7 linked regions of the Macaca fascicularis genome follow. The protein of the gene in region 5 interacts with the protein of the main gene of each other region in a pairwise test. Links are inferred from orthologs where the notes say so. Each region holds a gene or a part of one and is shown on either strand. Other genes may lie near its edges.

Evidence for each region.
Region 1: the proteins of MID2 (region 5) and MFAP1 interact in binary tests that used the Homo sapiens proteins (3 or more experiments, as listed by UniProt). The two-hybrid records come from large-scale screens. The link is inferred for Macaca fascicularis from reciprocal best matches to the Homo sapiens genes MID2 and MFAP1.
Region 2: the proteins of MID2 (region 5) and GEM interact in binary tests that used the Homo sapiens proteins (3 or more experiments, as listed by UniProt). The link is inferred for Macaca fascicularis from reciprocal best matches to the Homo sapiens genes MID2 and GEM.
Region 3: the proteins of MID2 (region 5) and CCDC120 interact in binary tests that used the Homo sapiens proteins (3 or more experiments, as listed by UniProt). The link is inferred for Macaca fascicularis from reciprocal best matches to the Homo sapiens genes MID2 and CCDC120.
Region 4: the proteins of MID2 (region 5) and CEP57L1 interact in binary tests that used the Homo sapiens proteins (3 or more experiments, as listed by UniProt). The two-hybrid records come from large-scale screens. The link is inferred for Macaca fascicularis from reciprocal best matches to the Homo sapiens genes MID2 and CEP57L1.
Region 6: the proteins of MID2 (region 5) and UNC45A interact in binary tests that used the Homo sapiens proteins (3 or more experiments, as listed by UniProt). The two-hybrid records come from large-scale screens. The link is inferred for Macaca fascicularis from reciprocal best matches to the Homo sapiens genes MID2 and UNC45A.
Region 7: the proteins of MID2 (region 5) and LGALS8 interact in binary tests that used the Homo sapiens proteins (3 or more experiments, as listed by UniProt). The two-hybrid records come from large-scale screens. The link is inferred for Macaca fascicularis from reciprocal best matches to the Homo sapiens genes MID2 and LGALS8.

What each region holds. Positions count from the first base shown.
Region 1 is NC_088381.1:20,398,085-20,401,584, forward strand, and holds part of MFAP1 (microfibrillar-associated protein 1), read right to left. Parts: intron 3,062-3,500; coding exon 2,932-3,061; intron 2,673-2,931; coding exon 2,485-2,672; intron 1,343-2,484; coding exon 1,234-1,342; intron 813-1,233; coding exon 652-812; intron 1-651. UniProt on the Homo sapiens protein: Involved in pre-mRNA splicing as a component of the spliceosome.
Region 2 is NC_088382.1:103,912,500-103,916,784, reverse strand, and holds the start of GEM (GTP-binding protein GEM), read left to right. Parts: upstream 1-1,485; 5' UTR 1,486-1,781; intron 1,782-2,813; exon of another isoform or gene 2,814-2,978; intron 2,979-3,271; 5' UTR 3,272-3,280; coding exon 3,281-3,608; intron 3,609-4,285. UniProt on the Homo sapiens protein: Could be a regulatory protein, possibly participating in receptor-mediated signal transduction at the plasma membrane. Has guanine nucleotide-binding activity but undetectable intrinsic GTPase activity.
Region 3 is NC_088395.1:49,227,565-49,231,041, reverse strand, and holds the end of CCDC120 (coiled-coil domain-containing protein 120), read right to left. Parts: intron 3,274-3,477; coding exon 2,359-3,273; intron 1,908-2,358; coding exon 1,793-1,907; 3' UTR 501-1,792; downstream 1-500. UniProt on the Homo sapiens protein: Centriolar protein required for centriole subdistal appendage assembly and microtubule anchoring in interphase cells. Together with CCDC68, cooperate with subdistal appendage components ODF2, NIN and CEP170 for hierarchical subdistal appendage assembly.
Region 4 is NC_088378.1:13,195,345-13,199,593, forward strand, and holds the start of CEP57L1 (centrosomal protein CEP57L1), read left to right. Parts: upstream 1-1,449; 5' UTR 1,450-1,530; intron 1,531-4,249. Other genes in the region: SESN1 (sestrin-1), read right to left, coding at 1-30. UniProt on the Homo sapiens protein: Centrosomal protein which may be required for microtubule attachment to centrosomes.
Region 5 is NC_088395.1:114,479,273-114,482,772, forward strand, and holds part of MID2 (probable E3 ubiquitin-protein ligase MID2), read left to right. Parts: intron 1-1,614; coding exon 1,615-1,742; intron 1,743-3,106; coding exon 3,107-3,340; intron 3,341-3,500. UniProt on the Homo sapiens protein: E3 ubiquitin ligase that plays a role in microtubule stabilization. Mediates the 'Lys-48'-linked polyubiquitination of LRRK2 to drive its localization to microtubules and its proteasomal degradation in neurons.
Region 6 is NC_088381.1:75,486,933-75,490,930, reverse strand, and holds the start of UNC45A (protein unc-45 homolog A), read right to left. Parts: upstream 2,801-3,998; 5' UTR 2,761-2,800; coding exon 2,710-2,760; intron 2,554-2,709; coding exon 2,392-2,553; intron 2,153-2,391; coding exon 2,116-2,152; intron 1,818-2,115; coding exon 1,642-1,817; intron 1-1,641.
Region 7 is NC_088375.1:12,615,941-12,620,156, forward strand, and holds the start of LGALS8 (galectin-8), read right to left. Parts: upstream 2,801-4,216; 5' UTR 2,727-2,800; intron 846-2,726; 5' UTR 747-845; coding exon 702-746; intron 1-701.

The sequences.
Region 1 (3,500 bases), on a different chromosome or scaffold from region 5:
TCCACCTGCTTAAAGCTAGGTCGGCCTTGTGACTTGCTTTGACCAATATGTGGCAGGATTGATGTATGAGTTCTGGAACCTAAGTGTCAGAAGACCTTGCCCTCTTAGAATGGTACCGAGACTACTATGTAAGGAAGGCAGTCTAACCCAATGAAGGATAAGTGAGGCATCCTAACTGATAGCCACCACCTACTACTAGACATGTGAGTGAAGCCCTTTTAAGTTTCTAGCCCAGTCAACTGTCTAGCTGGATACAACATAAGTGAGCCCACGTGAAATCAGTAGAGGAACTGTTCAGCCAACCTCCAAAATTGTGAAAAGTAATTGTTTTTTCAAGTCACTCAATTGTGGGTTGGGTTGTACACAGTAAGAGATAACTGCTAACAGTTACTAATTTTTGTGTCTACTAGGAAACTAAAGGGAGCACTGGCTGGCACTCTATTATGGACACACATCGACAAAGTGTGTTTCTCTTCCCTGATTTCACTGTAACAAGTGAAACTCACATTCCAATTATAGGAAACTCACCCAGCAGCAAGAACTCTGAAGATGGCCAGAATGGAACTCACAGTAGGTAATGAGTCTCAGAGCTATCCTACTAGAAACCTGTTCCACTAGCAGCATTAACTCTAGGCTCATCTTTTTACTCACGCTTCTCGATCTTCTCTGTCCCTCTTGATTCTTTTTAGCTCCCGAACTTTCCATGCCTCATATTCCTCCTCGTCATTTTCATCATCAGTATTGAGTGCATCCAGTGCAGCCAAGGATCGCTTGTTCTCTTCCAGCTCTTTCTTGGTTTCCTCTTCGACAATCTGGATAGGGAGAACAATTCGGCTTGGACTTCCTTACTCTCCTCAGACAAACCTGATTACACTATTTTCTTGTACTCAATCCTTGGAACCACTCCCCAGTACCTTTTTTTTTTTTTTTTTTTGAGACGGAGTCTCGCTGTGTCTCCCAGGCTGGAGTGCAGTGGCGTGATCTCGGCTCACTGCAAGCTCCGCCTCCCGGGTTCATGCCATTCTCCCGCCTCAGCCTCCCGAGTAGCTGAGACTACAGGCGCCCGCCACCACGCCCGACTAGTTTTTTTTTTTGTATTTTTAGTAGAGACGGGGTTTCACCGTGTTAGCCAGGATAGTCTCGATCTCCTGACCTCGTGATCCACCCGCCTCAGCCTCCCAAAGTGCTGGGATTACAGGCTTGAGCCACCGCGCCCGGCCAACTCCCCAGTACCTTGAGTGTGTACTTGCGCCTCTCCTCTGCCAGGCGTTTTGCTTCCTGCTCCAGCTCCTTCTGTTTCAATGCTTCAGCTTCACGTTCTTGAACTGTCACTCGGTCCTTCCTGCATCACAGAGGTCCTGTTAATTGCCTAAAGTCCTTAGAGTGGAGTGCTTTGTTCCCCTAGACCTAGTCCCATCCAAATGAGACGAAACCAAACTCTTTGGCTCTATTATTTTCAAAGAGCAAAAAACGTTGAGTCATCCCAGGTCTTTTTTTTTTTTTTTTTGAGATGGAGTCTCACTCTGTCTCCTGTGCAGTGGTGTGATCTCAGCTCACTGCAACCTCTGCCTCCTGGGTTCAAGCAATTCTTTGCCTCAGCCTCCCGAGTAGCTGGGATTACAGGCGCCTGCCACCACACCTGGTTAATTTCTTTGTATTTTTAGTAGAGATGGGGTTTCACCATCTTGGCCAGGCTGGTCTTGAACTCCTGACCTCGTGATCCACCTGCCTCAGCCTCCCAAAGTGCTGGAATTACAGGCATGAGCCACTGTGCCCAGCCATCATCCCAGGTCTTTGGAGCACTAAAATCATGTTCATCTTTGAGAACTGCCTGGACAGCAAAGAACCTGCTGGCCTGTAAGTAGGAGGATTTCTAGCCATCAAGAAAGGAATAGGAATCTGCTTGCTGAGTTTAATTTTGTGTTTAAAAATATATGGCCTTGGCTGGGCGCGGGGGCTCATGCCTGTAATCCCAGCACTTTGGGAGGCTGAGGAGGGCGGATCACCTGAGGTCGGGAGTTCGAGACCAGCCTGACCAACATGGTGAAACCCCCTCTATACTAAAAATACAAAATTAGCCAGACGTTGTGGTGCATGCCTGTAATCCCAGCTACTAGGGAGGCTGAGGCAGGTGAATCGCTTGAAATCGGGAGTTGGAGGTTGTGGTGAGCAGACATGACGCCATTGCACTCCAGCCTGGGCAACAAGAGCAACACTCCGTCTCAGAAAGAAAGAAAGAAAAAAAAAAGGCCTTGGACAGATATATGCTCTATAACTGAAAAAAAGAGATGTGAAAACAAACTCAGGTTCTCTGCTAACACCAAGATACTCCTCAGCAGCTCGTCTGGCAAGGCTACAGCACTAGCAAAAGCACTTTCACTCAGTGCTTAGATTTCAGAATAGCACAACAGAAAACAGACTTTTGTTTCCACGCCTGGAAAGTGGTAATTAAGTGGATTCAGATCTGGCTCGTGAGATACTTACTTTCGAATGAAGACTGGCTTAAGGCGAGGCTCCATCTCATCTTCACTGTCTGTGTACTCTTCATACTCAGACTCTGATTCTGACTCCTCTCCAGAACGTCCCTCATCTTCCACTTCCATGACTTCCATCTCTTCATTTTTTCTCTCCTGTGCTCGCTGACGCATCATGCCACGCCGCCGTTCTATTTCCTGTGAAGTCATATATGTAAGCCGGTCAGTCAAATGGCCTATGGCTTTTTGTTTTAGTCTCATCAAACCCAACAAATTCAAATGTAAAAAAATACAACTTAGTACCATTCTATTTTTAGTTCTATCCCAACAAACAAGGAACATGATCAGAGTCCTGCCAAAAGCAGTGATCTCATGTTTTTAAGGCTTCAACAAATGAGCACAGGCGTCAACTTTTTCTTATATCCAGAAAAAAACTTCCCATGTTCCTTTATCATACCTCATCATCAATCTCCTCTTCCTCTTCTTCACTGCTATCTTCTCGTTCCATGCGCCAAGCATCTCCTTCTACTTCTGAGTCACTCTCTCCTACCACTTCAGGTTCCACTATTTTCCGATGTCGAGCCAATCTGATAAACAGTATCTCCAAATGTAACACCAATGTCATAAAAATGAACTAGCATCAACCGCATTTCCACAGCCACACAGTACATTATGTTTGCCTTCATTAATACTGAAGTCTTTTTTTTTGAGGCAGGGTCTTGCTCTGTCACCCAGGCTGCAGTGCAGTGGTGCGATCTTGGCTCACTGCAACCTCTGCCTCCCAGGCTCAAGTGATCCTCCCACCTCAGCCTCCTGAGTAGCTGGGACTATAGGCATGCCAGCACACATGACTAATTTTTGTATTTTTTGTAGAGACGGGGTTTTACCATGTTGCCCAGGCTGGTCTTCAACTCCTGGACTTAGGCAATCTGCCCGCCTTAGCCTCTCAAAGTGCTGGGATTACAGATGTGAGCCACCATGTCCATCCAATATTAAAGTATTGAGGTGGGGGAAACTGAGGTGCAG
Region 2 (4,285 bases), on a different chromosome or scaffold from region 5:
TCTCTCTAGGTCTCAGGTTTCTTATGTATAAGATAAGTAGGAGATTGGGGCCACAAACCTGAGACTAAAGGAATTCTAAGTTTTCATTACTCTGTGTATTCCACCTTTGCTAGCTTGGGACCTAGCAGGTCTCAGCAGCTGGTCATGTAGCTAATTTCCAAAGCAGATAAATGCCTGCAGGATAACTGTGAATCGACTCTAATCACAGCAGAGTCCACTGCTTCAATAGATGCTGGTGCCTTTGGCTGCTTCCCGGAGCCACCAGCCAACCCAGAGATGAAGCTGGCTGAAAAAGCGGACGAGTATGTTGGAGAGGCCAGCATCATCTCTAAACACAGCATCTGGGAAATACCCATGTCCCCGGAAAGAGGTCATTGAAATCCTTCACTTAGTGGTGCAGTGCAGAGACTCAGGCAAACCAGGCTTTGAGTCCTGACCCTGCCACTTATACCAGCAGTATGACCTTGGGCAAGTTGTCTGGCCCTATGTCATCTTCCTCCTCCATACAATGAGGGTAGCAATTGAGTCACCTTGCAGGAGTGTAGTAAGGATTAAGGTCCCAGGAGGCCTAACAGTACCTACTAAGCAGAGGTCCTCAGAGGTACATAGTAAATGGTAGTAGTAGTTATTATCCTGTGCCCTTTGTTCACAGGAGTCTCTCATAGGGGCCGTGGGCTCAGTGCTCCTCCCCATGGCCAGGCTGTATTGGCTCATGCCCAAGGTGTAGCCTTGCCAGGGAGCCTGGTACAGAGATGCTGGTGATTGAGATGCTGATTAAATTCCCTGATTGAGAAGCCTCAGCATTCTGGCCCAGAGCAGCAGGGCCAACAACATTTAGCACAATCTGCTTGGATCCTCAATTAAATTGTTTTCCCAAACTGCCCTTTTCAAGGTCTTGTCCTCTTTCCTCACCTCTTTCTGGCCCCTTCTCTCTGGGTCCTTGCCAGAGAAGGGAAACAAAGCTTTGTGGGGCTCCATCTGCTTCCCCCTATCCAGAGAGAAGGTGACAGAGGCTGTCTTCCTTGCAGAAGATGCGGTTAAAACAAGCCTTGGCCATTCAAGGTGGCTGCAGTCTCATCCTGGAGGCTAAAGTCTCTGCGCATTCCAGGTTGATCCCTGTTTTCTTGGCAAAGCTGAGCTCTCAACTCAAACCTGCTTCTCCCTCCATCCTTTATCCCGCTAGCTTGCAAGTGTTTTGCTGGGAAGGACGATTAAGTGGCACTTAGAGTATTTTTCCATTTTCCTGTGTTCACCTGGTAAAAAAGAAAATAAAACAAAATAAAGGAGGCCCAGGATTGAACTGTCATTATTTTTTAAATGGAGAGAGAAGGGGTCATGTGACTGCGAGTAACCGATTTAGCCAAGTGGCTGCAACTCCGAGTTTGCTGCAGAGCCGCCCCCTCCCGGCGGGGGCGCTGACGTCACGGAAAAGCCCCGCGGCGGGTCGGCTGGGCTAGTTATAAACCGCCCGGCCGCGGCGGCTGTAGGCGGCGGGCACGGACGGCGGGCACAGCGCAGCACTACCCGCTCCTTGGCCCGGGTATCCCAGCGCAGACCCACGCGATACGCTGACGCCCCGACGCCGATCCGGCCGAGCCAAGTAAGGGGGGCGGCCCGGGACGGAGAAGGGAGAGAGTGGGAGTTTCCCAGCCCGCAGAACTTTCGAAGTTGAGAAAAGAACCCCTGAAACGTGCGTTCTGTGCTGGGATTTTCTGGTGGGGGTCAGAGCTTCAAGTGCAAAGGATGTCGCTTCTCATCAGCAGGTTCCTTAGTTCAATTCGGTAGGACAGTCACCTCCTCCTACAGATCGAGTGGTCAGAGAGGGCAGCCCTTAATGATGCTTTATGTATTTGTTGTTTGAATGTAAGTCTGCCAACTGAGGTGCTGCTTTTGAGACTAAAAAACCAGCTGGTGGTCCTGGTTAGTGGCGAGGTGTTGGGGTATGGAGTGTGGGGGTGAGGGTGGGAAAGCACTGTTTGTGCATCTTGCTGATTGCAATGTGCCTACTTACACTTCGTCGCCAGTAGCCAGAAAAACAGACCTTCCGGCTAGGGGAGGCAGTCTGCAAAGGGAAAGTTGTAGCGAAGTTGTTGAATATCATTTAGGGTAGTCTTCAGCCTTCTGATTTGCTTCAAGAAGGGGGGCTGAGAATGGTGGCTCAGGCCTGTGGTCTCAGCACTTTGGGAAGCCGAGGCAGGAGGATCACTTGACCCCAGGAGTTGGAGACCAGCCTGGGCAACATTGTGAGACCACCGTCTCTACCAAAAAATAAAAATAAAAAAACTAGTGGGCGTGGTGGTGCAGGTCTGTAGTCCCAGCTCCTTGGGAGGCTGAAGTGGAGTTGGAGGCTACAGTGAGCTGTGATCCTGCCACTACACTCCAGCCTGGGTGACAGAGCAAGACTCTGTCTCAAGAAAGGAATCTGAGTTGAATTAAAGAACTCTTGAGAATGGACGTGGTTTGTTAAGAATGAGGCACTTTCTGTGCAAATTTGCTAGGTCTGAACATGAGCAGATCATTTCTCTGCCAGGGTGTCTAGGTTTGGAGCTGAGATGCTTTAAAAGTGGCATCTGTGGATAAGAGGGCACAGCTGAGGCATAAACTTTAAGCAGAAAATTTCCCCTCTACCCCCAATAATGGCAGGTGGATGCTCTCCAGGCAGCTGGAGAGCATCAAAGCAACTTTACTAAACATGGAAGTTCCAATAAGTGCCTGTCCAGTCCAGCCAGGGTTGCGGTGGGGAGGGGTGGGGGTGATGTCATTGCCACGTGTTTCCCACTGAGGCACAAAACCTGCTGGACACTGGTGCAATTAAGAGCCAAGTTTAGACAAGAGCAGCTAACCTGACCAGTTGGTCCCCAGCAACATTAACTTGTTGCTTTTCAAGTCATCTCTGGAGGCTGCTGGTTCTTTCCAGCTGCCTTTGTGCCAGCTCCGAGTGCAGCTCTTCTTTGATCCAGGTCTGCTTTGAGGAAGGGGTAAGCCCATGGGCAGTGGTTGATGTTAACAGTATTATTTTTTCCATGCAAATGACAGTCTGCCTGAGGAGCTGGTTACTGACAGTGTGGGCAGTGTGTGTGTATGTGTGTGTGTGTCCAGTTGAAAGCCTGTCTTGTTGGGCTTTGGAGACTGTTTAATTGGTGTTTTTTATGTTAGGGATACTTGCTTCTCATCTCATCTAATATAATATTACTGATGACTGACCATGTATTTGAGCAGAGCTCTCACTCATGCTTACTAATGCTGCCATCTTGGCTGCTTTGCTCCCCAGGACCCAACGATGACTCTGAATGTCACCATGCGCCAGGGCACTGTGGGCATGCAGCCGCAGCAGCAGCGCTGGAGCATCCCAGCCGATGGCAGGCATCTGATGGTCCAGAAAGAGCCCCACCAGTACAGCCACCGAAACCGCCATTCTGCTGCCCCTGAGGACCACTGCCGCCGAAGCTGGTCCTCTGACTCCACAGACTCAGTCATCTCCTCTGAGTCAGGGAACACCTACTACCGAGTGGTGCTCATAGGGGAGCAGGGGGTGGGCAAGTCCACTCTGGCCAACATCTTTGCAGGTGTGCATGACAGCATGGACAGCGACTGCGAGGTGCTGGGAGGTAGGTGTCCCAGCCCCAGTGGGCTTCTTTCCATCAGGCGTGGCCCAGGAAGAAAGAGCGAAGGTGGGTGGCTTATTTACCTGCAGAGTTGGGAGCTAAGGTTTATGCATTTTGGACAATTGATGGGGGAGCTGAGTCTCCAGAAAAGCCCAAGCACAGGCTCTCAGGGCAATAAAATGAAAAAGCTTGTAGACAGGACCAAAATCTATTGAACCTGGGCCAGAAAGGGAATTTTTCAGATTTCAATTCTAAATGGGTGGGGGAAGGCTGATTAGAGAGGGCATAGCCAGAGGGTCAGCGCCCCACCTCTGACTTCTGCTGACTCTGACTTGAACATTCTTCCCGGAATTCAGTATAGGCACAGCCTTTTTCCATGGTTATACCTAAAACAAGCCAGTTGGAAAAGCTGTTAGGATGGCTTGATCAGTTTGCTTCTACCAATATTAGAAACTTTTGTGGGTGTAAAATAGTTCAAAATCTGTATTTGAAATAGTATAATAATTTTTTAAAATGTGAAGTATAACAATGATAATTTGTATAGAGTCTGACAGCTTTTCAAGACAATTTTCCCTGTACAATTTTATTTCATCTATTTATTGATTGGAACCTGGCCTATTTCCAAAACTGTTTTGAGGTGACATTATCTCAAAATGCATGTATTCTTCAGCTAGGGGTAA
Region 3 (3,477 bases), about 65 Mb from region 5:
TTATTGTTTGAGGTTGGCTAGAAATCTGAGTGCAGACAGGCAAAGAAGTTGCCCCACATCACAAAGCAAGTAAAGTCAAAACAGATGACACTGCCAGGCGCGGTGGCTCAAGCCTGTAATCCCAGCACTTTGGGAGGCCGAGGCGGGCGGATCACAAGGTCAGGAGATCGAGACCACAGTGAAACCCCGTCTCTACTAAAAATACAAAAAATTAGCCGGGCGCGGTGGCGGGCGCCTGTAGTCCTAGCTACTCAGGAGGCTGAGGCAGGAGAATGGTGTGAACCCAGGAGGCGGAGCTTGCAGTGAGCCGAGATCGCGCCACTGCACTCCAGCCTGGGCAACAGCGTGAGACTCCGTCTCAAAAAAAAAAAAAAAACAGATGACACTATCACAGGCTATTCCCAAGGTATGTTTTTTTCCTGTAAAAATATATTATCTGGTCTTGACTAGAGGTGTGGGCCCTCAAGGTGAGGCAGATAAGAGCAGCAGCAACACATGGGTTCAGTTTACACATTTATTATACAAATCCCCTTCCAGTGTGGATAATGTCTTGGGCCCAGATCCACTGGTATAAAAAGAAAAGTTTAACACCAGGAAAAGGGGGTAGGGGAACCCCCAGCTCCGAAAGTCACAGACAGGTATCATAGAAAACACAATTTGTGTGGGTTTGCTTAAAAAGTGGTGGATGGGGGCTGGGTGCAGTGGTTCACGGCTGTAATCCCAGTGCTTTGGGAGGCCAATGTGGGCAGATCATGAGGTCAAGAGTTCAAGACCAACCTGGCCAATATGGTGAAACTTTGTCTCTACTAAGAATACAAAAATTAGCTGGGTGTGGTGGCGTGTGCCTGTAATCCCAGCTACTCAGGAGGATGAGGCAGGAGAACCCAGGAGGCGGAGGTTGCAGCGAGCTGAGATTGTGCCACTGCACTCCAGCCTGGCGACAGAGCAAGACTCCGTCTCGAGGAAAAGAAAAAAAAAGGGGGGGGGGTGGATGGAAGGAAAGCCAAGGAAGGTGTGAGTGGTGAGCGGCCCGTGGCCCGCAGCCTGTAGCCAGACCTCACCTGAGGATTTTACTGGCATCTACCGGTGCCAGGTCTGGTAGATGCCAGGTTCAACCCCCACAGGATCCCAGGACACGGCACACCTGATGGCTCTGCCCTTTGCCCCTCCTGTGGGGCCTCCTGACTGGGGGTGGTCAGGGCAGAGGCCATGGGCACAGACGGGGTTGGACTCCTTCAGGCATCCCACCCAGACTGCAGTCCTTCCAAGCGTGGGCAGAGAGCCCAATGCCCCAACAACTGCCCTGGCGATGCATGGCAGGGATTTCTGTTCACACCAGAGTCTCCTGGCTGCCCTAAATGGCCCTGAGACCCGATATGGTCCATTTTATGGAGGGGGTTACTGAATGGAACCCGGTTGGGCATGGGAACAGGAATGAACCCAACCAGATGAGATCAAGTTTCCCTTTTATAAAACGTCTAGTGTTGGAGGAAGACAGTGAATACCTAAGTCACAACTGTAAACATAAATGGATGAAGGGGCTTGGGGTCCCCATGACATTATCCTCTCTCTTTTAAGCTGGCTGAGGGCCCCCAGTCCCCAGCACAGTGTGAGAGAAGAAGCAGGGTGTCAGACACCTTCCTGGGCCTATGGGGAGCCAGGGGCCTTGGAAGATTAGGTTGGCGCACTGCACTCAGGACAGAGCAACCACACCCCAGGGCCCAGCGAGGTCAGCTATGTGCTCCCCAGATTGGAATCGTGCCCAAGCCAACAAGGGACATATCAGAAGGGGTCAGACCAGTGTCCCCGGGGTCTGGGTGTCAGAACTGGAGGACTGCTCCCCCTCTAGCGTCAGGTCACTTAAACGAGCGCTCAGCTCCGGGGGATACAGGAAGTCCGCGTAGTATCTTTAGAAGGGGTAGCAGGAATCCGGAGGACAGGGCGGGGAAGACAAGAAGAGGAAAAGACAGACAAGACACATAAAAAGAAAGGAAAAGAGGCTCGTTAAAGAGGTGGAGGCAGGCACAGGACAGCACTTTCAGGCTCCAGGGCATGGAGAAACAAGGAAGAAAACGGCAAGGGGCATGAGATGTCCCTTCCTCCCAGCACCCTGGCTTCAAGGCTCATCTTCAGCCTATAACTTGATAAAGAATTGCTGCTACCAGTGCCCAAGATCCCCTCCACCAGGACCCCATGGACTAATGCAGGTCATGTGCAGTAGTGACCCTGTGCCATCACGGCAGCTAGTTTCCTTATGGTCCAATGCATTAGCTATCATGACTAGCCACTCCCTGGCCTGGATATCTTCGCCATCTGCCTTAAGAGACCCCTACCCATCAGTAAAAGCACCCCCCATACCTGCCAGAGACAGGGGGCGCCGTGAAACTCCTCGAGTGTGGGAGTGGCGCTTGGCTGGGGGCCCCGTACAGCGCCTGGCCCACCTCATAGCAGCGGGCATGGAGGAAGGGTGGGTGTGGCGGGCCCACGGAAGGGAGCACAGGCCGGCGCTGGGGCCCCGCGGCCAGTCCCGAGTTCCGGATGTACCAGTCCCGCAGCCCCTCCAGAGCCAGGTTCTTGTGGCCACTTCGTTCACCAGCCGAGGGGATACGGCTGGGTGGGGGCATCCACAGCAGAGGGTTTGGATGCACCTCAGGACCCTCGGCAACCTCTGGGGGCAGGCCACAGGGCTTGGTGCGGGTGGCACGGGTGTGGGGGTCCTTGGTGCGGAGGAGGGGGCTGTTGCTGTCAGCTGCATACACAGGTGGTGGGCCGGGGAGCATGGTGAGGAGCCCATCCCGGCGGGAGAGGGGTCCTGGGACCTCAGCGGCAGGCAGCAGCTCCCCCCAGCCTACTCCACCACCACTGCGGGGCAGACCCCGGTCCAAGGAATAGTCCAAGAGGAAGTCCCCACACACAGGTGGGAGCCGGGGGGCACCTCGGGAGGCAGGGGCAGCTGAGCTAGGCCGGGCGGCCCGGGGAGGGTCTGGGGGGCCTGCTGTGCGGGAGGAGAAGGCAGAGGTTGGTTGGGGGCGCTCATACAGCACCTCACTGCTCTTGCAGACTGGGGGGCCAGAGGCAGAGGGAGCCAGAGGGGTGGGCGGGGAGCCAGCTCCCCCACCAGCAGCCCGGTCCACCAGCAGGGCCTCAGAGCTGTTGCTGCGGCGGGTGCGAGCTACGAAGAGGGAGGCGCGATCGGAGGCAGGGTCCGCCCGGGGGAAGCCCATCTGGGAGTCCTGGCTGCCGGACCACTGACGAGAATGAAGGCCTTCAGGTCTGAGGTGAGAGGCGAGGGTCATGGGAATAGGGTCAGAAAAATCAGGCAGAAGGCGTGCAGTGCCCTCCCTACCCCACCCCTTTCTGAGCCTTCACTTTCACATCTCCAAATGGGCCCAGGGTTGGAAGCTGTGTGTATAAAGGTGGCAGGTAGTGACATGTAAAGGGCGGCTGAGGTTCTGTCCTAGGCTAGGGGGTCGGGGG
Region 4 (4,249 bases), on a different chromosome or scaffold from region 5:
CCATCTCACTTCATTCTCTCCTTCAGCCATGACAATAGTTTTTCCTTTGCGGTCTTCAGTTACCTTTCAGCATGTCCCCAAAAATCACTCTGTGTTTTTAAAATGAAAAATGTAAAAATAAAATCAGAGAAATCAAATCGTCATGAAAACACACATATGGGTAACATTTGGAACCACTGGTGTCTTCAGCCGATCTACAAGCTAGATCACCCTCTCACCCTCTCCTTGTACACTAAAGGGCAGTCTTCCTTCTGGAAAACAAAGTTGGAAAGTTGCAACCTTGCAGCTCTGGCTTTGGTGGACGGAGAATTTCGGGGAAGCGTTCTCCTCCGTCTCGCGGGGTCAGCGGATATCCTCACGTTGTGGAGCTGTCAAATCCGTGCTCTGCCCCAAAAGGCTGGTAACAGTTGAACGCCCTCCAGCCATTCGGGGCTTTTTTGTCTGTGCAGCCACCGGGTTCTCTCGAGCTTTCCCACCCCGCCCCTCCTCCGACACCAGTCCCCGCCCTCCGCAGCTCCTCCCAGCGCCTCAGCAGCCGGCCGGGCGCCGGCAGGGAAGGCTCGCCGAACCCTGGCCCACTGGCCGCAGCGGCCGGAGGCTTTGGCGCTGCTGGAGGGCGGCAGTCTCGGGCAGCCGCTGTCTCGGCGGGCGGCGACGAAAAAAAGCGTCCCCAGCCCCGCCAATTCCGGACCCCCGGGAAGACGCTACTTCTCCGATCCCTGCACCCTCGCCCACCACCGCCGAGCCAGAGGGCATAGGGCGGCCCTGGCAATCCTCGAGCGCAGGGCTGGGCCGCGGAGCTGGCGGGGCGGCGGGGCCCAAGGCGCAAAGCCCGCCCTTCGCCCAGCCCCATCGGTGGGGATCAGCCCAGAGGGCGGGAGCAGGGAGGGGAGACGGGGTCCTCACCCCCAGCCCCTCCCCTTTCTCCGCCCGGCACAAACCGGGAGCCACCCCGGCCCCAGCGCCTTCTTCCCCGCCCAGGCAGACGCGACCCGCCGAGGCAAAGCCATTGGAAAAAGCCCCGCCCTCTGGCAGGCTACCTCCGGACCCCCAGTGCGCCGCGCGCGGCTGCCAACCGCTGCCGGCTGCTACGCATGCGTGACTTAGAACAGGGCACAAGCGCCTCCGGAGGCTCTAAGCTTGCGCCCTGGGGCGGTTTCCGTTCCCGGATGTTTGGAGTGTGTCCTGGAGAAGGGGAAGGAAAAAGTAAGGCGTAGAAGTACACTGAGACTTCGTCACACACAAAACAAGCACGACAAAGAAAAAGGGCACGAAGGGACTCCTGGACGAAATTGAGTCTACATTTAAGATCACCGTAAAAGTAGTGACGGCCTCTTTATTACTCCAAACCCCAGATTTAAGTCGGTGGGACGTCTTCGCGTTGACTTGTGGGGAATGTAGTTTTGATGCTGCCGGCGCGTTTTGTTTGCGACAGAAACTACAATCCCCAGAGGCCACTGCGACGTCGCCTGTGGCTGCCCGCGAACCAACGGTTAGCGGTGGCAGGGGCTGACTGAGAGTGTCTGCTTGGTAAGCACTGTAGGCTGGGTTGTCACCTTTCCTTGACAGGGTTTTTCCTTCCTCCATTTCCTCTGGGATTTTGGAGACGAAGCCATCTAGCGTGGCCTCCCTTAGTCCAAGGATTTTTCCAGTGGCTTGCGTGGGAAGGACTAGTCCAGCTGCCCAAGCGCGGGGTGTGGTGGGTGAGGCGAGGATTTAGGGATCCTGATCCCGAGGGTCGCAGGGAGCGGCCTAAGAAGGAAGGATGCTGTGGAAACTGGAGCTTCGGGCTGCTGCTTCTGCTTCCACCCTTTTCTGTGGGCAGGCGCGGGATGGATTTGGGATCTCTGCGCATTTGCACCTTTGTTTGCCTTTGCTTAGGGATGTGCTGGGCTTTATTTGCTTTTAGAAAGTCATTATTTGAGAAAAGTCGAGGTTTGAACGGCCATCAGTGGACTGATAATCGGTGTAGATTTTAATTCTTTATGTTGCAGAATTGCATTACATTAAATTCTAAAACTTTCATCTTGCTAGGCACTGAATATACAACAATGAGAAAGACAGTCTTATCCAGTTAAGAGGAACCAGTTGTTAGACATACAGTTACAATACTATATGATATCACTGGGATGCCTAGAAGGAGATCACTTAGCCCAGTCTTGGAAAGCCAGGGAAATCTTCATCCCAGCGGAAATGAAGATCAAAAGAACAGCATATGCTAAGGCCCAGAGCGAGAGATAGGGTACTTTCAGGAAACGTCAGTAAGCCAAATCATACATACTTGGCGGTGTGGGGTGGGAAGGGAAGGGTGCTTTTTGTGTATTGATGTACTTTGAAGCTACAAAGAGACACATATTGTGAATTCTTTACATTGTTTCTGTAAGTGAGCTATTTTTGAATAGATGCATAGTTCTGATGAATTGGTCGAATTTCAAAAGCCTGTTACATTCTAACACTTCTAGTTTGAATCCGAATTTTGAAAAGGGAATAACTTATGAATGTGATTGAGAAAACAAAACAAAACCATTCCGTTTTTATCTCCTTTTTGGGATGATCATCCTCTATCCAGCCCATAAAGGGTAGGGTAGTTTCTTAAGGCTGGGTGCCTTTTTATGCTGTAGTTAAATATGATCTCACGTGTACCCATGGCTTCACCAACACTTATGACTCTCAAATGAATAGCTCCATTCAGCTTCACCTCTCAGCTTTCACATATCTATCTCTTGGATATTTCTTCTTGGATATCTCAAAAGCATCTCAAACTCAACATTCCTAAAATCAAATACATAGTTATCTGTTACAAATCTGATTCTTTTTCAGTGTTCCTTATTTCAGCAAAGGACACTACCATCCATCTACTTGTGAAAATTTGAAAGCCAAACATTATTCTTTATTTCTTCTTGCCCTTCATACTTTTATGGCTAAATTATTACCAAGTTCTGCCAATCTTATCTCCCAAAATATCCTTCAAATATATTTTTCTCTCCACCTGTCTTCAAACTGTGGTAATCTCTCAAGACCACTACAGTAGCAGTTATTCACAATGACCCTCCTCCATTAGTTCTCCATTATAGCTACCAGAATGATTTTTTTGAAACTGCAGATCTGATCAGATTTTCTCTTGGTTAAAACTATTCAGTGGTGTCCTGCTACTGTTAAAATAAAGGCAAAACTCCTTTATAAAGCCTGACATCATCTGGTACTCTTTCAGACTCACTTCATATACTGCTCTCCAGATCAACCATACAGACCATTTTTCACTCATTGGTTCTCATATTCCATTTCACCCACACATTTACTCAACAAATTTCTGTTGAGTCCCTTTTATATAACAGGACATTGAGGATACAGCACTGACCACAATATATAAAAATTCTTACTGTCATAGAGCTTACATTCTACTGAGAAGAGATAGTAAATAAATATGTAAAACATTTAGTAAATGAAATGAAGACAAATGCAGTGGAGAATAAAACAACTGGGAAGGGGAATGGGGAGTGTCAGGATGTGAGGGGCTAGGTTTACTTTTAAATAAAGTGGTTAGAAAAGACCTAATCCAGAAGGGGACAATTGAGGAGATATGAAGTAGGGGAGGGAATAAACCATATAGATGCCTGGGCAAATAGCATTCTAATGAAGAGAGTTAGTGCAAAGGCAGGAGCCTGAGTGCACATTTGAGAAATAGCAAGAAGGCTAGTGTGGCTGGAACACAATGAGTACAAAGAGAATAACATGAGGTCACAGAGAAAGGAAGTAATGGTGGGAGAACATGTACGTGACTGAAAGGACTAACATTTTTAATTGAGTTGGGAAAGCATTGGAGAGTTTTGTGCAGATGAGGGCATGATCTGACTTTTTTAAAATGACTACTTTTCTTTCTCTCTCTCTCTCTTTCTTTTTCTCTCTCTCTTCGATGGAGTTTTGCTCTTGTTGCCCAGGCTGGAGTGCAATGGCACAATCTTGGCTCACTGCAACCTCCACCTCCCAAGTTTAAGCAATTCTTCATCCTTGGCCTCCCAAGTAGCTGGGATTACAGGCATGCACCACCATACCTGGCTAATTTTGTATTTTTAGTAGAGACAGGGTTTCACCATGTTGGTCAGGCTGGTCTCGAATTCCTGACCTCAAGTGATCCACCCACCTCAGCCTTGCAAAGTGCTGGATTACAGACATGAGCCACCGTGCCTGGCCTCTTTCTTTTTGCCTGAGGCAGAGTCTCACTGTGTCACCCAGGCTGCAGTGAAGTCAT
Region 5 (3,500 bases):
TATTCACGTGAGACCTTATGATTGTACTGAGCTAGTCTTTCATTTTGCCTGTAGCTTATCCCTGAAACATCTCTATTTTCAGAAACAATAAGAGATGTTGTTGGTAGATGTACAGCAGGGTATATGTACATGAGGATATGTATTTTTCAGTTTCTCATTCCCTTACAACTAGCTCACCGTAAAAGTTTCCTCTCTGGTCTTCCTACATTCAATGCCTTTTCTCTCTCCTCTAACCTACATATTGTTGCCAAATGAATTTTTCTTTCCTCACCATCATTTACATGTTCAAGGATCTTCATTGGCTCTGATTTAGAAGATCTTGCACAGGACTAAAACATGTATATTTTGGCAAAAGCTCCTCCAGATAATCCTGATGTGTAGTGATGGCTAAGAAGTGCTGAAGTATGTAAAATATACCTCAATTTTTTGAAGAACACTCTAAATGGTGAAGGGTATGGAATTTAGTATCAGATGGACATGGGCTCAATTACATTTCTGACTCTTACTGGTTGTGTGATCTTGGACAAATTACTTAGCATTTCAATGTGTCAACTTTCTCATTTGCAAAATTGAAATAACATCTACTACATAGGGTTATGGTAAAGAGTAAATTAGATAATGTGTGTAAAGTGAATGTAGAGAGCATTGTATATACTAAGCACTCGATAAATGTTAGCAGTTATTTTGTTGTTAGTCATTCAATTGTTCATTCAACAATTATTTTTTCACTATGTGTCAAATGCTGTGTTAGGGCCATGGAAGATATTAAGAGGTACAAAATATGAACCCTGCTCTTGAGACTCTTAGAATTAGTTGGGAAGATAACACTATCATAGCACTATACAATCGGAGGATAATAAAGTGAAATATAAATGCTATAAAAGATCACATAGGTCAGGTGCAGTGGCTCATGCCTGTAATTCCAGCACTTTGGGAGGCCAAAATGGGTGGATCACTTGAGGTCAGGAGTTTGAGACCAGCCTGGCCAACATGGCAAAATCCCGTCTCTACTAAAAATACAAAAATTAGCTGGACGTGGTGGTGGGCGCCAGCTAGGGAGGCTGAGATATGAGAATCGCTTGAATCTGGAAGGGGGTCGGAGAGGCAGAGATTGCAGTAAGCTGAGATGGTGCCACTGCACTGCAACCTGGGTGACACAGCAAGACTCCATCTCAAAAAAAAAAAAATCACATAAATGATATATTTAGGGAAGGTGTTAACCTAGCATGCTGACTTGCTGACTAGCATAAACAAAAAAGAAAAATCTCCAACTGTTTTTACCAAGTCTTTAAAGGTCTAGTTTTGATGCTGCCTGCCAGATGGAAAATGATGCAGAGGGGAAAAAATTCTGTATTTACTTCTCAGAATTAAGACTGGATGGGGGAGTGTGTTTGAGGGGTGAACATATGTGAATAAATATGGTATAACTCTTAATTGGTTCCTGATGATTAAAATTTAAATGGTTCCCATTGGAAAGGCACAGATATGATATTTTCACTAAATAAATCAAGGCTTACAAGTCATTTATTTTCACCTTGTTAAATCAGAAATCAAAAACTGGGTGAAGGTTGCAACCTATTTTGATGTATATTGATGTACTTTTCTCTTTTTCAGGGTCGCTATGGCAACTGCATCTTCTCAAGTTCTGATTCCAGACATCAATTTTAATGATGCCTTTGAAAACTTTGCTTTAGATTTTTCCAGAGAAAAGAAACTGCTAGAGGGGTTAGATTATTTAACAGGTGTGAAAATACTGTGCTTTCCTTCCCATTTAATTTTTTTTCTTCTGGTATGCTTTTACTTAAAAATAATTTGAAAAAGACAATATTTATAATTTACATATTTTATAATCTTTAAAATGATGCATGTATCTTTTCAGACAGAATATATTTTAGTTCATGTAACAGAAAAAAAGATGATTTATGATTTGTTAACTATTTCTAGGATCAAAATGGGTATACCATCTATACTTAAGAGTAAAACACAAGAAATTTGCTGATAGATTTGTCCTTATGAATCTAACAGTAATGTATTGTTGCTTGTTATGAGAGTAGAACTCAGGTGACAATTAGGGAATGTCAGAGAATGCCTTATGTGGGTACAAGTACTACCAAAATGGTTTTAAGGAAAATTAGGAGTTAGTAGATCAGGAAGAAAAATGTAAGAAATATCTGGCTCTCAGACAATTTTAGAAAATGAGGGACACAACCAGCCTGTTGAAAATGCTGGCTACTTTCAGGATTGTTTAATGATCATTTCATGAAAAAAAATACACAAACTATTTTTGCAGCTGTTTTGTTACTACATTAAATACCTGCCCCTTATTGAACATCTACTTTATTCTAGACACTGTATATTAATTTTATATCTTTAATCCTTACAACAAATCTATAAGTTAATTATCACCCCTATTTTGTAGATGAGGGAACTCATCATTTTGCACTTGACTATACAGCTAAAAATATGTAATGGGGCCGGGCACGGTGGCTCACGCCTGTAATCCCAGCACTTTGGGAGGCCGAGGTGGGTGGATCACCTGAAGTCAGGAGTTCGAGACCAGCCTGGCCAACATGGCGAAACCCTGCCTCTACTAAAAATACAAAAATTAGCCAGGCATGGTGGTGGGCACCTGTAATCATCACTTGAACCCAGGAGGCGGAGGTTGCAGTGAGTCGAGATCGTGCCACTGCATTCCAGCCTGGGCAACAAGAGCAAAAATCCATTTAAATATATATATATATACTCATTTTGAAATAAAAAAATTAAGTTGAAGACCATATGTTAAGAAAACCATATAATCACTTTAACGTCTACATAAGTGTTTATGCAGGCAGACTAGACAGCTGGGGCAATCATCACAAAAATTTAGGCTTATATTTTTGTTGTAGAAAAGTTTAGGCTTATATTATGTTGTAGAAAAGTGGTTTTAAGGAGCTTGAGGTCCTAGCATTTTGCTTCAGGTTGCATGGTTCATGCAATTTAAAGATTCTCTATTAAGAAAATCTTCTCTTCAAGAGATGTTGGGTTAGGCAGGAAGAGTAACAATTGTAAAATTCCAGAAGAGAGAGTATGCTTTCCTTACTTTCTTTTCCACCTTTCCTTACAGCCCCAAACCCACCATCTATCCGAGAAGAACTCTGTACTGCCTCCCATGACACCATTACAGTCCACTGGATCTCGGATGATGAGTTCAGCATCAGCTCCTATGAGCTTCAGTACACCATATTCACTGGCCAGGCTAACTTCATCAGTAAGTCATGGTGTAGTTGGGGCCTGTGGCCAGAGATAAGGAAATGTAAGGAAGCAGTAAGCTGCTCAAGATTGGCCGGGGCGCCACGAGGCAAGTGTTTGTAAGACATGTTAGGTTGTTCAGTATAGTGTTTCATAGACAGTGTAAGCTCCCCAGAGCATTGCAAAGACCTTACTGATGGGTAACAAGCAAGTTGTATATTTCCTTGCTGGGCAGTTACTGGGGCCATTCTCATTCATTTATGGAACCC
Region 6 (3,998 bases), on a different chromosome or scaffold from region 5:
TTTGGCCCGGTGCCATGGCTCACACCTATAATCCCAGCAAGTTGGGAGGCTGAGGTGGGTAGATCCCTTGAGCCCAGGAGCTCAAGACCAGCTACCTGGGCAACACAGTAAAACCCTGTCTCTACCAAAAATATAAAAATTAGGCGAGCGTGGTGACACGCATTGTCCCAGCTACTTGGGAGGCTGAGGTGGGAGGATCGCTTGAGCCTGGGAGGCAGAGGTTGTACTCCAGCATGGGTGACAGAGTGAGACCCTGTCTCAAAATACATAAACAAAAAAATAAAAATAAAAATAAATTTTAAAAATAAAATATTTTCAGCTGGGTGCAGTGGCTCACACCTGTAATCCCAGCACTTTGGGAGGCCGAGGTGGGCAGATCACGAGGTCAGGGGCTCCAGACCATCCTGGCCAACACAGTGAAACCTTGTCTCTATTAAAAGTACAAAAACTTAGCTGGGCGTGGTGGCACGCCCCTGTAGTCCCAGTCCCAGCTACTTGGGGGGCTGAGGCAGGAGAATTGCTTGAACCTGGGAGGCAGAGGTTGCAGTGAGCTGAGATCACGCCACTGCACTCCAGCCTGGGCAACACAGCAAGACTCTGTTTCAAAAAATAAATAAATAAATACATAAATAAATTAAATTAAATATTTTCCTTTGTATTTATATACCCAAGTGTACCCACAGAAAAAATATAGCATTATTTTGCTATGCAGGGGATCATTAACATAAATGATATAATACTATATGTGTTATCATATATTTTTCTTCTTTTCTTTTTCAAAAGAGACAGGGCCTCACTCTGTCATCCAGGCTGGAGTGCAGTGACACAATCATAGCTCACTGTAACTGCAAAATCCAGGGCTCAAAGGATTCTCCTGCCTCAGCCTCACAAGTAGCTGGGACTACAAGGGTGTGCCAACACACCCAGCTAACTTTTTAAGTTTTGGTAGCAACAGGGTCTCACTATGCTGCCCAGGCTGGTGTCAAACTCCTAGCCTCAAGTGATCGTCCCGTCTTGGCCTCCCAAAGCACTGGGATTACAGGCATGAGACAGCATGCCCTGCCTATTTTGCTTTGTTTATTCAACAAGTGTCCCAGAGCTTTCCATTTCAATATGTGTGTATCTACCCATTCTCAGTAACTATGTAAGAGTCTCTAGTAAGGACATTACCCAATTTATTCAGCCATTCCTCTATGGCTGGGCATTGAGGCAAGTTCCAAGCTTTTACTACAAAAAAGGCTGAAATAAACATACACATGTCTACTTGTGCATGTGGGCAAGGTTTCTGTGAGAGAAACAGCAAGAAGTAAACATATGGGATCAAAAGATACGCTCATTTCAAATTTGATATGCTAAAGTACTCTCCAAAAGAGCTGTACCAGCCTCACCACTGATGTGTCTGCCTCTCTCCTTCTTGAAAAGTATACAAACTTTTAAATGTCTGCCAAACAGACCTCCAAATCAACAGTAACACGCTGTCATCTTAATTTGCTTTTCCCTGGCCACAGGCAAGGTTAACCAGAATTCTATATGTTCACTTGCCATCAGTATCTCTTGTCTGGAGAACTGTGTCTGCACCCCTGGCCCAGATCCCTTCACCACCACCAGTCAAGCTTCCACCTCTCTGGGTCACTCACATACCTTCTCCTGAATCTGGCCCCCGATGTTCCGCAAGGCCTCCTGGAAAACTTTGTTCTTGGGCTCCAAACTCACACATCTCTGCAGGTCAAGGACAGCCTGGTCGAGGCGGCCCAGCTTCTCTAGGGCTTGGCTCCGCCGGTAGAGTGCTTTGACATCCCCACCATCCTTTTCAATGGCTGAGCACAAACAGGAGCGCTGTCAGCACCCATGAGGCCACCATCTCCAGGCAAGAGCAGTAGGGAAAGATCTCGAGGAAAGGCCAGAAGGTAGGGGGACGAATGTGGGGCTCGGTGCTTCAGCCTCAGAAAAGGTGAGGGTAGCTGCAGAAAAGGAAAGGCCCGAGGCAGTGGGAAAGAAAGAAGGCAGATGTGTCTCTGGGGCCAAAGGAGGAGAATGTGATGGTGCAGCGGTCCCAGAGTCCTTGCCCACCACAGAAGCCCTACAGCTCCACACGAGGGTCCACCATTCCCCTACCTTTGGATGCCTCTGTTTCTGCTTTGTCGTAATCTTCCTGTAAGAGAAAGACAGCAGCCTGAAAGAATGGTCATCTCCCTTTCGGGGCACTAACCAGGCAGCAGGGGTACTCTCGCTGTCCAAGGTCACCCGATCCCCCTTCACGCTGAGGTGCAAAAGACATCTGGCAAGCGGGGATGGCCTGGGAGCTTGAATTCCCAGCTGGGGCCCAAGCATCAGCTGAGATGGGCGAACCGGGGCCCGGCAGGCAAGGGGAAGAGCGCCAGGCTCCCTCACCAGCTTGAGGTGGCAGGCGGCCCGGTTCCGGTGCAGAATGGCCTGGTCCTGGGGCGTCGCGTCCAGACCCAGGGCCTGAGTGTAGGCCCCCAGGGCGCCCTCGTAGTCTCCACATTTGAACAGCTCGTTGCCCTCTTTCCGCAGCTGCTCCACTGAGCTGGCCTGTAGAGAGAAAGGGGGCGGAAACGTCGGAGGGGGTTCGGGGCAGAGCCCTGGAGAAGAGGAGGGATAGGCACGAGCCTCATGGATGGGGAGAAGGAGGCCTGGGATGGTCAGGGCGGGTGCGAAGGGGTGATGGCGCGGGGATTGGGTACGCACCCCGGAGGTGGCCGGCCGGGGCTCGGGGGTCCCTGGACCACTCACAGTCATCGCGGAGAGGTTGTCCCGTGCCCGCGCAGGCGCAGTCTCTGGGGCGGGACGAGTCTGGCTCCGGACGCTGCCGGGAGCTGCCCCGCCCCACTCTTGCGTCGGAGGTGGAGTCAGAGAGGGGCAGGGCTAAAGAGTTAGCGCGCCCGGGCAGGGGCGGGGCACTCGACTCTGGATCGCAGGTGCAGGCAAGCTCCGGGCGCGCCTAAGCTGTCCCCGCGGAGACCTGCAGGAGTTCACGGCGGAGGACCCGGAGGGAGGCCTGCGGTGGCTCCAGCCCCGACCCCGGCCCCGATCGCAGCAGAAGTGCACAAGGTCTGCGGTCATCAGGGTCACAACCAGTAGGCTGTAGAGGCCCAGCACTAGGAGTTGTCCTGGGCCCCTGCGGGAGAGAAAAAAGTATCTGGATCCCGGCCCTGGCCGCGCTCTGGCTGCTGCGCTCTGTGGGAGTACAGAACCCCTGGGAGTCCGGAGAAAGCTCGGGACTCCATCCCCAAATAAGTGTAGTCTTACATACACACATTTGCATACGAATTTAGGAGCTCATCCTAGAGCCACCCATGGGCAGATTCAGTATGGCTCCCTATTACCCGCTTGCACAGCCCCCTGAACTTCTCCCTTGTAATTGTAATCATGATCTACATGATTTTCTGTTGCGGTCTGTCCCTTCACTAGTCTGTAAGTTACAAGCCTCCCACCCCATAATTTAGGAACAGAGCCCCAGATATTGGAACACCCTGACGATGTTCCAGTGGCTCCGGGGTTGGAGATCTCACCTGAGGATGGGCGGGGGCGGAAGAGCGGACAGGTTGACTTGGTACAGGGCCTCAAATTCAGCCCGGGTGCAGCAGGAGCCCCCTGCAGCCTGCAGGTGGCAGCAGTAGGCTTCCTCTGGAGAATCAGAGAGACGAGGGCAAAAGAAACCAGGGTAGTGGTGGCCATTGACATCCCGGGTGGTCTGGCACAAGTGAGGGTGGTGGACCACAGCTGAAGAGAGAGGTTGGGGGGCTAGAAATAAGCAGGAGGGATCTTTCCACAGCCCACTCCACCCCTACTGGAGAGTAAAAGAGATCAGCCCCTACCGGAAGAGCAGGCGCCCTTCCATTCATCCCCATCAGTTCCAGTTCCCAGGAATAGCCCATAGCACGATAGGCAGGTGGGCCACAGGGGTAAGTGCTGTACCTGAGAGAGAGGTTGACTGGACAAGGGTCACCCAGCTGAAGAGCAGCAGTAGCCCCACG
Region 7 (4,216 bases), on a different chromosome or scaffold from region 5:
CCAAGAATCTTCTAGGGGGTTTACTAAAAAAGTGGCTGTCCTTTCCCAGACCTCAATTCAGGATTCAGCTTCAAATAAGTGGAAACTAGACATTCCTAAAGATTCTCACCACCACATAAAACTAAAACAAGCTCTTTACTGCTTAGGATTACAGGGCAATTTCCAGCAATTACAGTCATTCAGGGGTTCTAGGACCAGCCTGAACTGCACGAGACCCTTTACTACTTCTCACTCTCCGTCTCCCCACTGGCTTTTGACATTTTCCCTGCTCAAGTGCCAAGCAGTATTTGAAAGGCTGAGGGAAAGATCGAGACACTAACTTCTCATGGACAGCTCTAATTAAAAAAGAAAATGAAAAACTTGTAGAGTAAGAAATCCATTTGCCTTTAAAAACTAAAATTTATGATTAGCTGAGCCTCCTCCCATTACCAAAAGTTGGCATTCCCTCCACTCTACCCAGACGTTCCCTGTTTATAACACTGTTTCATCACGTCATATTGCCATCGTGACTTCTTCCTCCACTAGAGGACGACAGCTGTTTTGTAGTCAGCGCCCACCACCATCCCTATTACATAGTAGGTGCTTTAAATATGTTCGCTGGCTTTTATTTTTGCCCTGTCTCCCAATGGATAATTAATATTGTATTGGATCTGCTCTCAATCCTGGCATAGGTAAAACGTTATTTTCTAGAACTCAGTTACCGGGTTATAGATGATATTCTGTAGGTTGTTTAATGACAACATCATCCTTTTCCAGCTTCTTGTTGGAGTCTCTTCTGTGTATGACCTGAGATTTTAGGCCAGTTTCATTTAAAGGTTACCTGGATTGAAACTGAGGCACTGGCCCTGTGTAAAGTAAAAACAGAGGAAAAGAAAAGTAAGCATGCAGCATTTTTCTTCATATCCTATTTTAAAATTTAAATTATACATTATGTTACTGATATTTACCAAATAATAGAATGTTATTACAATCAAAGATCTGCCTCCCATTCTTACCAGTGTGCTCATATACTAAACAATTTTGGATTGTGAGTGTAGGAAATACTGACTTAGAAAATACATCAGTAGAAAATTTCTAACATGGAATTTATTATTAAAAATACTAAAATAGGCCAGGCATGGTGGCTCACGCCTGTAATCCCAGCACTTTGGGAGGCCAAGGCGGGTGGATCACCTGAGGTCAGGAGTTCGAGACCAGCCTGAACAATATGGTGAAATCCCATCTCTACTAAAAATACAAAAATTAGCCAGATGTGGTGGCATGCACCTGCAGTCCCAGCTACTCAGGAGGCTGAGACAGGAGAATTGCTTAAACCTGGGAGGTGGAGGTTGAAGTGAGTCAAGATCGTGCCACTGCACTCCAGCCTGGGCAACAGAACGAGGCTCCATCTCAAAAAAACAAACTAATTAATTAATGGCCATTACTAATCAAACAGTCCTGTACAATTATCAGAGGTATTCATTTCACTTTTCATTTCCATAAAAGGACAATAATTACAGTATTCACATCATTGGTTTGTTCTGAGGATTGAGTTAATAAAATAGTGAAAGAGTAAGTGCTATGTTAGCTATTATTATTGTGAATAAAAAGAATTGCTCTTCTTCCTCCAATTTAAACAAATCAAGGTGTGGAAATCCAATAATTTTAATACTATTAAGATACAATTTTCTCTGCTGCTTTAAAAAAAAAAAATCACAGGGCAGGGGAGTGTTGGAAAGCATTAGCCACATTTTTTAAGATAAAAGCACCCATGGACACTACATTTAATAACTCTAGGAAAAACTCGATGACTTTAAGCAGAACTAAAGGGGAAACGAAACTAGAGCTTCCTGTATTTTACTTCCAGCAATTGTCATTATACCGCACACCAACAATACACACCGATCAAATCTATTACTTTTTCTTTATTAAGAAAAAAACTGTACCCCTCTTGGTTTACCACCTAAATATAACCCCAGTCTATGTCATTAACTTAATTCGTTAGTCAAAACCTCAAAACTCTGGCTCCGTGACTCAATACAGGAAGCAAGAACAAGAGCAAAAAGAATGGATGCCGAGTTGCCATACACATGTGTGATAACCAGCGAGTGACCCAATTTAAATCATCGGCTTGCATTAAATCACGCAACCCCTGAAGTATCCCCAGGGACAGGTCCCGCCAGCATGACCACTTCGTATGCATCACAAGAAGCCATCACTTAAGTTTCACGTACGGTCAAAGGAAGTCACATGACTTGCCCTTTGTAATGTTTAATACTGCAGTCAAATGACTCGGCATCCTAAAGCGCGTGTTAGAGGCAGGGAAAGCAATGTCACTACAAATTCCGGGACGGAAGCTTCCCCAGATTCCTCCACTTGAAGGTGGCTCTAGGCCTCAGGTTAGGAGGGAACAGGGTAGAAAGCAGCACAGGTGCGGTGGATTTGCAGCGAGGAGACACCCCAGGACAAACAGCCTGACTCCAGCCAGGGATGTACAAGAAAGGCCGCGACTCCTGATAACCCCTTACGCCCCGGAGCAGCCTCGCCTGCAGAGGCAGCGTCCCCGCCACCCAGCCCCGGCTCTGCCGCGGTGAGGACCTGCGGGTTGGGGTGGAATGGACACTGTCCCACCCATCAAATTGTGATTTAGGAGCCGTGACATCCGAATGCCATCCTCCACTGGCGAGGCCCTCAGAGCAGCCACCCCCCTAGCGACTGTCCCAGTGGCCGGGGGTCGCGCTACTCACCCAAGGACTGGTGTTTCAGGCGCTCCACGGAGCAAGTTGTCCGTCAGCCGCTAGGTGCCGTCCGGTTCCCGGCTGGGGCGTCCGTGGGCGGCTACGGGAAGCGACAGGAGTCAGTCCTCCTTCACTTCCTGGCTCTCCCGCTGTGGTCTCCCCACCCTACCCGCGCCGCCCCGTCTGTGTATGGAGCGTCCCTGGCGGCTCTGCTGGATTTTGGACAGGGACCCGCCACTGATCGCCACCCAGCTCGGCCTCCTGCACAGCCTCTGGGGCCTTGGACCGCGACTGGCTTGCTGTGGGAGAGCACAGAAGATAAGGACAAAGAATGTGTCCTGGGTGGATCTGGCTGCCTTTGCCCCGAAGGCGGAGTGGGTGGAAGGTGGTAGGAAAATGGGAAGGAAAGAAGAGAAAGGCTTTCTCTTCCGCAGCAAGTGGGCCGACGTCCACTTGGCTGTTCCAGGCCTCCAGGTCTAGGAGGGCGCTCAGGGCTGGGACTTTCCGGGACCCGGGGTGATCACCGCACAGGCCCCGCCTGCCTGGACCCAGCGCTGGCCTTCCCGGGGCGCCCAGGTCCACGGGGTCAATGCCAGGGTTTTCTCAGCTTCCTCGTCTGCCTCGGAACGGAGTCCAGACAGTGCCAGAAGAGACCTGAAGGCACTGCTTTTTGAAGGTGCACACCTCTGGATGTAGGCGAAACTGGGGGAAGGGTTCAGTACCTTGGACTGTGCCCAGCTCAAAGCGCCCCATCCGTTAGCGATAACATGGACTCGTAGCCACTCCGCGTCACTCGCTAGTTACCCTGCGCGTGGGTGTTTTCTCCAAATTGGACACTTAGGGAACAGTTTAAGCAGTATGGAGCACAATTCTGTGCGTATTAGATGCTCCGTAAATACCCAACTTCTCAGGGCTCTACACTGATAGTTTGACCTATTGGCTGTAAACACACCAGCCAGAAATATAAATAAAGTTTGAAACAAAGTCATGTCAGCCACTTGGAATGGCTTGCTGCTTATTGTTTGTTTTGTGTTAGGGACCTCAAAGTTCTCATCTTCTCTACTTAACTTTTATCCACATTTGTTTGGAAAGATATATTTTAGTGTCACCAACATGGGCTTTCTCCTCCTTGGCTTTTGTTTTCATTATTTTTTATTTTAATCGAGGAATTCATTACAAGTCCCATAACTGGGAACTCATGTTCTGATTCACTGTTGCTTTTCTCTCCTCCTTACCCATTTTCCAAGTTAGATACACTTCTCAAGATCCAATTTGAATAAGTGAATTTACCCTTGACATACACTGCCTTGGATTTATAGTTATCTTCTGGTGTGTGTCGTGTGTTTTATCTGTCCAACTCGACTGTAGTTTGAGAATGAACTTGTCTTATACATTCCCCAGTGCATAGTGTAATGCTTTGCATAAAATAGATATCAATGTTAGGTTGAAGTGTTAGATTATTGATAAAGTCAGGAGCAACTGAATATCTTCACAATTCT